Drosophila melanogaster: one gene and its partner. The protein of the gene in region 1 interacts with the protein of each later gene in a pairwise test. Each region holds a gene or a part of one and is shown on either strand. Other genes may lie near its edges. The genes, in order: CG13097 and CG4866.

The links.
Region 2: the proteins of CG13097 (region 1) and CG4866 interact in a two-hybrid assay, tested with the Drosophila melanogaster proteins (one large-scale study listed by BioGRID).

What each region holds. Positions count from the first base shown.
Region 1 is NT_033779.5:8,511,360-8,516,503, reverse strand, and holds CG13097 (uncharacterized protein), read left to right. Parts: upstream 1-1,635; 5' UTR 1,636-1,749; coding exon 1,750-1,844; intron 1,845-1,911; coding exon 1,912-3,658; intron 3,659-3,764; coding exon 3,765-3,911; 3' UTR 3,912-4,330; downstream 4,331-5,144. Other genes in the region: PIG-U (phosphatidylinositol glycan anchor biosynthesis class U), read right to left, coding at 1-142, 203-474, 537-1,161, 1,222-1,351; CG13096 (uncharacterized protein), read left to right, coding at 4,736-5,144.
Region 2 is NT_033778.4:17,516,308-17,519,581, forward strand, and holds CG4866 (uncharacterized protein), read left to right. Parts: upstream 1-1,915; 5' UTR 1,916-1,983; coding exon 1,984-2,120; intron 2,121-2,176; coding exon 2,177-2,388; intron 2,389-2,445; coding exon 2,446-2,642; 3' UTR 2,643-2,720; downstream 2,721-3,274. Other genes in the region: CG4853 (uncharacterized protein), read left to right, coding at 1-15, 78-221, 278-483, 548-797; APC10 (anaphase promoting complex subunit 10), read right to left, coding at 1,156-1,604, 1,664-1,802.

The DNA of each region.
Region 1 (5,144 bases):
TGCCCAGTGGAAAACGCAAGAGTGGCACCGAAATAGAAATTGGCATTTGCCGATCCTGCATAGATCCACAAATGCCAAAGGGCTCCCATCATAGATAGAGTGACCAGGAAGAACGTAAAGACCACAAAGCCATGGGCCATGACTGAAAGAAATTACCAAAGTGCTTAGCAGTTGAAATAACTACGTGAGCCAGATAACTTACATTTCCAACATCTTTTCCACAGCGGAAGCAAGGCCAGATAAAAGCCGACATCGCCCAGGCTGGGATACGCCCTAAAAACGGCCATAAGGGCCACCAATACCGTGGCTAGCAGTAGGGGCTCCTTGCGCAGCTTAATACTTAGTGGCACCAGGTATAATACGGTGGCATTCAATTGGAATGTGATTAGGAACATGGTGCGGAAGTGCTCAAACATTTCAGTAAAAAAGTACCAGAAGAGACCGATATTTGGCTGTAGATCGCGGAAATAAAATCTGTAAGATAGTTAAATACGTAAAAATACAAACAGATAACTAATAAGATAGTTCTTGCTTACATAAAACCCAACGTTCCATCCAGGAAGTTCCAGCTGTTCAGCACAAAATAGTTCGCAACTGCCACGATTAGACAACTGACGATAAAGAGCGCCGCTATAGCCACACCCCTCCTGACCGAATTCCGTGAAAAGACCAGGAGCAGTGGTGCTATAAGTACAATGGGATAGAAGCTGCGGACAGTTTCGAACGCGAGGACTAGAAGGCATGGAATGAGCATTCCCTTCACGAGGCAGTAGAAAAAGAAAGCCAGGAACAGATTGCTTATCACGGTGGAGGTCATTCCAATGCAGCTCATAACAGTCAGTGGACTGAAAAGATATGCCACGATCACAAGTTCCGGAATGTCAAGCTTGTCCAGCGGGCCAAACTGCAGCTCTTCCGTATCCTTGGCATACTCCTTTCGCTCCTTGTCCTGCTGATCCTGCTTTTGCTTGACGAATCTCAGACTCATCGCATAAAGCAGGGCCGCCGTGCAGATATCCAGGATTATGTAGAATATCGGCAGAAACTGCGGGTATTTTTGAAACAATCCGGAGAGCGCGCTGAGTATCAGCGGCGATTCGTGTACCAGGTCGCCCAGATAGGGATCAATGCCACTCTGTAGAAGAAATATCCCCTCTTGCACTGCAAGAATAACTCCATTCAGACTTGTTCATCTATTTGATGTCTACTTTGTTTACTTACTGCGCTTGTGTGAATTTAAAGGTGTCGCGAACTCCACTCGGTTGCCAATCATCGGAGCCAGCGGCGTGCGACAGAAGTAGAAGCGCACGGCGCCGCCCAGCAGGAGCAGTTTAAAGAACTTCGAATCCATCTTCTAGTTGGGCATAGTTTTTGTGAACGGACTCCGCCTGTAAAAAGCCGCCTACAGCTGGCTTGGTGGTGGCAAAGGCCTTCGATAAATTATCGATTTCCTTGTCACGATATACGGCTTCTGGTCTACTGTGTAAGCAATTATGATTTTTTTTAGAGCTTTGTTTTCTTCAAGTTAAATATATTTATTATTTTTGGAATAACAAATTTTGGCTCAAAACAGGATTCCAACTCGCATAAAGTTTTTAAGCTTGGAAAAACTTGTACTTGTATCACGCGCTCATCTCTATGTATCTGTTCCATCTCTCACCAACTGGTTGTTGTTTTTGGACCCGCTCTTGCGCTCGAATTGTTGGAATATATATTTCATTTAATTAAGCACAGAAAGCAGTAGTAAAAATGATTGGAAGTAAAAAATCCAAGGAGGCGAATGTCTTCAAGGAAATCGCAGAGAACTTCGAGCAGCTGACCAAGAATCCAGAGCGTTTTCTCCAGTTTGTTTTCCTTCCAAAGACCGCGCACGTGTTTTTTCAAACGTAGTCAAAACAATTTATATTTCAGGCCACAGCCGGAACAAGTGAATGCCATCGAGCAGCTTATCCAGCAGACATACGCCGTTAGCATCAGCGAGGATGTGGCGAACAAGAAGGAACTGCTGCCGGAATTGGTGCTGGAGCAAATGGACGAGGAGCAGATCTGGCAGCAACTGGAGATTCGCAACGAACTAGTGTTCCAACAGGTGCTGGAGCAAACCGCCAGGCTGACGGCGATGCGCGAGCAGCACCTGGGCATTGAACTGGACGATGGTGAAGAAATAGAGGAAGAAGACGAAGTAATACAAGCTGAAGACTCAGGCGATGAGGAACAAGATGAGGAATCAGACTTCAGCGACGAGGATGGAGGGCTACAAAAGCAGAAGACCGCGCCGCCGAAAGACAAACGAAACAAGCGACTACGCAACTCTGTGGTGGACGATACCTTCTTCAAGTTGGAAGAGATGAATGAGTTCCTGGAGCAGGAGGATGCCAAGGAGATGCGCCGCCTGAACAGCAAGAAACGCGTTGAGCAGGCCGATGATATAGATCATTTCGCAGAGGATTTTGGTCTTGGCGAAGATGAGGAGGACGATGAGGAGGGGAATGTCAACTATGCGGACTTCTTTGACATGAATGAGGAACTGACAGAGCATTCTAAAAAGATTAACAAAGGCAAGCAGAAAGATTTCTTCAATGAAAACGAGAGTGAAAATGAAAATGAACCGGATGAGGATGCAAATCCCAAAGAGGGCGATTCTGATCAAAGCGAAGGAGACGAGGGCGATGATGAACCTGAAAATGATCAAGATCCAGATGAGGCGGCCAGCGAAATAGATGAATCCGAATTCGTGGCAAAAAGTGGCATAGAACCTGCCAGCGATTCAGACTCGGATTCGGAGAAAGAAGAGGAGGAGCCACAACCCACAGAGCCACCGTCCCAATCATCCAATGAGATGAGAGAGGCTCGTTTGTTTCAACGCATCCGCGACTACGAAGACATTGTCCTAGGCGAGAAGCCTTGGCAGCTCAAAGGCGAAGTAAAGGCAGCCAATCGGCCCCAGAACTCACTGCTTGAGGAGATTCTCGACTTCGATTCGACCACCAGGCCAACGGCGCCAATCACGGAAGAGGATAACCGCTCCATCGAGGACATAATTAAGCAGCGTATTCGCGACAAAGCATGGGACGATGTGGAGCGCACTGTGCGACCGGTGAACACCCCGCAAGAGTACAGAAAACAACTTGTGCTTGACCAGGAGAAATCAAAACAATCGCTGTCGCAGATCTACGAGGCGCAGTATCAGCGCGAAATGGAAAAACTCGATCCCAATCGCGATGCCGATGACAAAACTGGTCCGGAACCGAAAGAACACCAAGAAATCAAGCGGGCAATGCGTTCCCTATTCCTTAAATTGGACGCCCTCTCCAATTTCCACTTCACGCCGAAACCGGTGGCGCCGGAGATCAAGATCGTAACGAACACACCAGCAGTTCACATGGAAGAGGTGGCCCCGCTGGCGGTGAGCGATGCCAAGCTGCTGGCACCCGAGGAGGTGTTCCGCGGACCCAAGCACGCTCCACTTGGCAAGACCGAACGCGATCGAACGGATAAGAACCGCGAGCGCCGCAAAAAGAAGCAAAAGCAGCGGGCCATCCACTCGGCTCTGGAGCAGCGCGAGCTTCAGCGAGCCAAGGAGGGCAAGGCGCCCACAAAGAAGGAAGCGGATGCCAAGCTGCTCAAGACAATCACCAAGAATCGCAATGTTCAAAAGGTATATAACATTTTAGTTTATCTCTGTTTTATGTTTTGTATTTAATTGCTATTCTTGAGCGATTTTGAATTCTAAATGAATCAAACTTTAAACGATTTTCTTGCAGATCAATGCCAGCAGCAACGACCAGGGAGCTCTGAAGTCCTCAAAGGCTTTCTTCCACAAACTGCAGGATACCGCAGCGGCTACAGCATCCAAAAAGCGACCGAAAAAGGATACCGCCAAGGCGGATGCCAAGAAGCTGAAGCTTTAAACGTACACGCTAGGACTCCTTCATATTGTAATTGCCTTAAGCCAGCAAAGTTTTCTCGTCTCCAGTCACGTGCCAGAAAGTTGTCACAAGCACACACGTATGCCCACATAGCAATCCTTGTTGCAAGAATATCTTTAGCATGTACTGTGTGTCTGGGGAGTCCCCAATTTGGTGCTCCATGGGAGATGCCATGTGTCGGTACTTTTAATGTTCCATGTGCGCGGATCCATCGTATGTGTATGTGATGCGTGGGCGCTTTGTGTGTGGCGGCGTGTGAGTCAAGGACATTCTGTGTCCTGTTGAGGCGATTAGGCACGCGTGCAGCTTGCGGAATTTGACTATTCTTAGAATTATTTACTTAAAATAACTGTTTGCTATGTAAATAGTACCCTAATTAAAGAAAGCAAAGCAAGTAACGTAGCCACTTGTTTTTTTGTTGGATTAGAGTAGAAATACTCAATCATATAATCATCATCATAATTTCTATATTACATTACAAAATTAAAAAATTTAATTTTATCTTCTAAGGGAGAAATAGAGATGGGATACAAATCGAAATCGATATGCTATAACGGTCAATTTTCCAATCGGTTTTGGTGAAACAGCTGCTATTGGTGCTCGGCCCTGCGAAGGGGGTGTGTATTGGCTAAAGTTGTGACCGTGCCTGAGACATCGGTAATGAAAATAGTTCCCGATATCGACTGTAGCTACGTTTTGCGATTCTGAACATATCGATATTAAAGCGTAGCACGTGTGGTTGTGGTGCATTTTAAATATAGTTTTGCTCGAGTTTTTACGCATCTGTCAAAAAAGCAAAAAATAATATGGTTAAAGTACAGAAACCGCAGCCCAAGTCGCTGAACAAGAGCGCCAGCATCGAGGGCGTGGTTAAGAAAAAGGGTAAACCGGAAAAGACCAAGAAACTGGCCACAGACGCTACTCTGGAGTTGGCCAGCAACAAAAAGGCAAAGAACGCGGCTCCGGTGAAAAAAGATGCCATCAAGAAGGAGCCGGAGGTGTCCAAGAAGGGAGCCGAGAAGAAGCAGTCAAAAGCGGCCAAGCGCCCACTAATTTTGGCTCCTCCTGAGTCGCCGGCTGCCCCCGCACCAGCGGCGAAGAAGTCTAAGGCAAAGCCGGCCGCTTCTGGGGCTCCGGTCGGCAAAAAGATCGAAGCCAAAAAACCTTTGATTTTGGCTCCTCCAGAATCCCCTGTGCCACCGAAAAAGCAAGAGA
Region 2 (3,274 bases), on another chromosome or scaffold:
ACGGAAATATTAAAGGTGAGTACTAAAAAAAAAATTAACCATTAATCAAATAAAAAATATGATTCGTTCGTTCCTAGTTGGGCAAAAAGTCCCAGAGAGCACAAATGATCGACTTCTGGGTGGAAACAGCTCTGGAATGCTTTAACACAGGCAACTTCAACAGCTTGATGGCCATTCTAACAGCATTGAATCTTACTGCCATAGCTCGCCTAAAGAAAACGGTGAGTTTTCGTTAAGTAAAACGAGTGAAGTCTGATTTTACTACTATTTTTTATAGTGGGCCAAAGTGCAGACGACAAAGTTCGAGGGTTTGGAGCATCAAATGGATCCCAGTTCGAACTTTCTTAACTACAGATCCACCATGAAGGCAGCTGTTTGGCGTTCGGAAAGGGAAATGGCCAACGAAATTGAGCGTGCCATCATCCCATTCTTCTCGCTGTTCCTCAAAGATTTGCATGCCATTAACGAGAGCCATGAAACAAAGTGAGTTTGTTTGTGCATAAATGAGCTCTGTTTCGAGATTAACCGAATTCAAATCCGTTTGCAGATTGGCCAACGGATACATAAACTTTGAGAAGTGCCTTCATTTGGGCACCCAGCTGCGGAATTTTGGCAAATGGCAGCGATTGGACTGTCCATACGAGCAGTTGCCTAGTGTGGTGTCCTACCTGTTGAAGGCGGAGGTGCTGAGCGAGGATCTTTTGATGAAGGCCTCCTACGAAAGCGAGCCACCCGAGACCGGCGAGGAGAAGGATCACTACAAGACGTTGAAAGCTGCAAGGAAATCGAACACATAATCACCAATCATTAACGACAATCCTCGAGATAGTGCAATACAATACAAAACGATGCAATAATTCTCGCACTCTTTCGTTGGCGTTCCATTTTCACATTTTGCATTTGTATCGCGATAAAACAGTAACAATAATAACTCTTACACTTCCACTGTGTTTGTTAATTTGTACTTAAGCTTAGACGACGGTATATATTTATTTGCATTCGAATTATATATATACAAGTGACGGGCATTTAATTAGAAACACCAAAAATATGCATAAAATTACTAAAGTAATGTTTTAAATGTTGTATTTTAGCAGTTATATACCCCGAAAAATACATAAAAATAAAAGACTTCGATAAATCCCAAAGTTTTCCCTAACGAATGGTGGCGAACTTCTGAAAGTCGACCGTTCCAAACTTGCCAAACAGTTCCAGAGGATAGTGCTTGCCCTCGACGGGCGCATGGATGCGGATCTGGCGCATGTGGGTGTCCCTGCCATTCTGGTGGTTCGAGATCACAGCAATCTGAAGCATGAAGGTGCGTATGGACTTGACGTTCCCATCCTTAATGGGTATCTGCACCCAGCCGGTGGGTTCGGTCAGGTCCATCACCTGCAGCTCCTGCAAGTCGTTGAAGTTCGTTCCAGATCGTATGGAGATCCTTGATGGCGTGTAACTCTCGTCCAGCTTGTAATCCGTGTATATGTAAATCTGACTGATGTTCGTACGCTTGTGGAATTGAATGTTGACCAGGTGGGGAAGCTGACCGTCCGACTGCCAATAAGTATCCATGATGTTGTCTCGCAAACGCTCTACACCAAATCCTGAAGGCCAAAGAAAATTGTAGAATATGTAAGGATCACGTAGTTACACCAAAAGTTACCCGGCTTGCAGGAGGAGAGGCTCCAAACAGCCTGCGCGCCCACTTCCCGCACAAAGCCTAGGCGCTCCTCGGCCAGGGGGTCCTCTTCGCTGCTTGGGGGCGGGTTGGCGGTTATATCCTCATCCATTGAGGCTGCCATTGCAGCAATTACGATTTTAAAAAACTATCTAAATTTTATTATACAGAAGCCGCTTGAAGACGCACAAATCAGCTGTTTGTTTTTATGGTGCTGCAGTTGTGCGTGCTCTGGTCACACTGCGCAGCACATGTGCGAGTAGTTCGTCAACAAAAAATTAATTTGCAAAATAATATAAATAAAAATGGTTCGTAAACTCAAATTTCATGAGCAGAAGCTGCTTAAAAAGGTGGACTTCATCACCTGGAAAGTGGACAACGGCGGCAAGGAGAACAAAATCCTTAGGCGCTTTCACATTCAAAAAAGGGAGGACTACACCAAGTAAGAGACCAAATTGCTCACGTATTTAAATCCCCATTAAATTTGTTAATTTTTAGGTATAACAAGTTGTCCAGGGAGATACGGGAACTGGCAGAGAGGATAGCTAAGCTGGATGCTTCAGAACCTTTCAAGACGGAGGCCACCACCATGCTCCTAAACAAGCTGCACGCCATGGGAGTTTCCAATGATCAGCTTACTTTGGAAACGGCGGCCAAGATATCTGCCAGCCACTTTTGCCGACGTCGTCTACCCGTGATCATGGTGAAACGTGAGTACCATCCCTTAATAAGCACTTCATTTTCATATAACCATTTTCCGTTGGCAGTTCGAATGTCGGAGCACCTGAAAGCGGCCACAGACCTCATAGAGCATGGTCATGTGCGTGTTGGTCCGGAAATGATTAAGGATCCTGCTTTTCTGGTCTCCAGAAACCTCGAGGACTTTGTCACCTGGGTGGATGGCTCCAAGATCAAGGAGCATGTACTCCGCTACAACGACATGCGTGACGATTTCCAAATGTAGAGAGACTACCTCCCTTAAGATAACCAGTAGAGTAACTAAAGCTAACTTGCAATAAAACCAACTAAGACTTTGTTAAATAATCATGTTCAATAACTTTATTACATTTTATATAATAATGTTTAGATCTCATTAATATTCATTATTCCGGAGCGAATTGCGCCAAGGGCACAACTGCGCCGACACGCACATACATATACATATTTATTTTATCCTGATCCCCCGAATTACCGATCTGCTCGGAATCATTTTATAATGGCGGTTCAGTTGGATTATGCTCTATTAGTTTTTACCCTCACTTCGCTATCTAAAGTCAATCGTGTTGAAATACCTTGCGGATGTTAAAGTAATATCAGTTTTGGAAACAAGTGAGAGCCAGCGGATGTACACAATAAATTATAAGATACCAGCGTGGGATTGATCGGTCGCTTTATTTATAAAACGAGATGAGTGTGGTTGTGGTTAGGGACTAAGGTGCAGGCAGGTGCATCGAACAGTTGAGCGGTCTAAAAAGTGACTAATGAACAAAGTTAAAAGTAAGATCGATGGCAGTTAGACGAGTCGATTCAAGCCAGGCTCAGGCATAAGAAGCAAATGCATTCGAAATGGTTCTAGTGTGGTTAGAAGTGCAATAC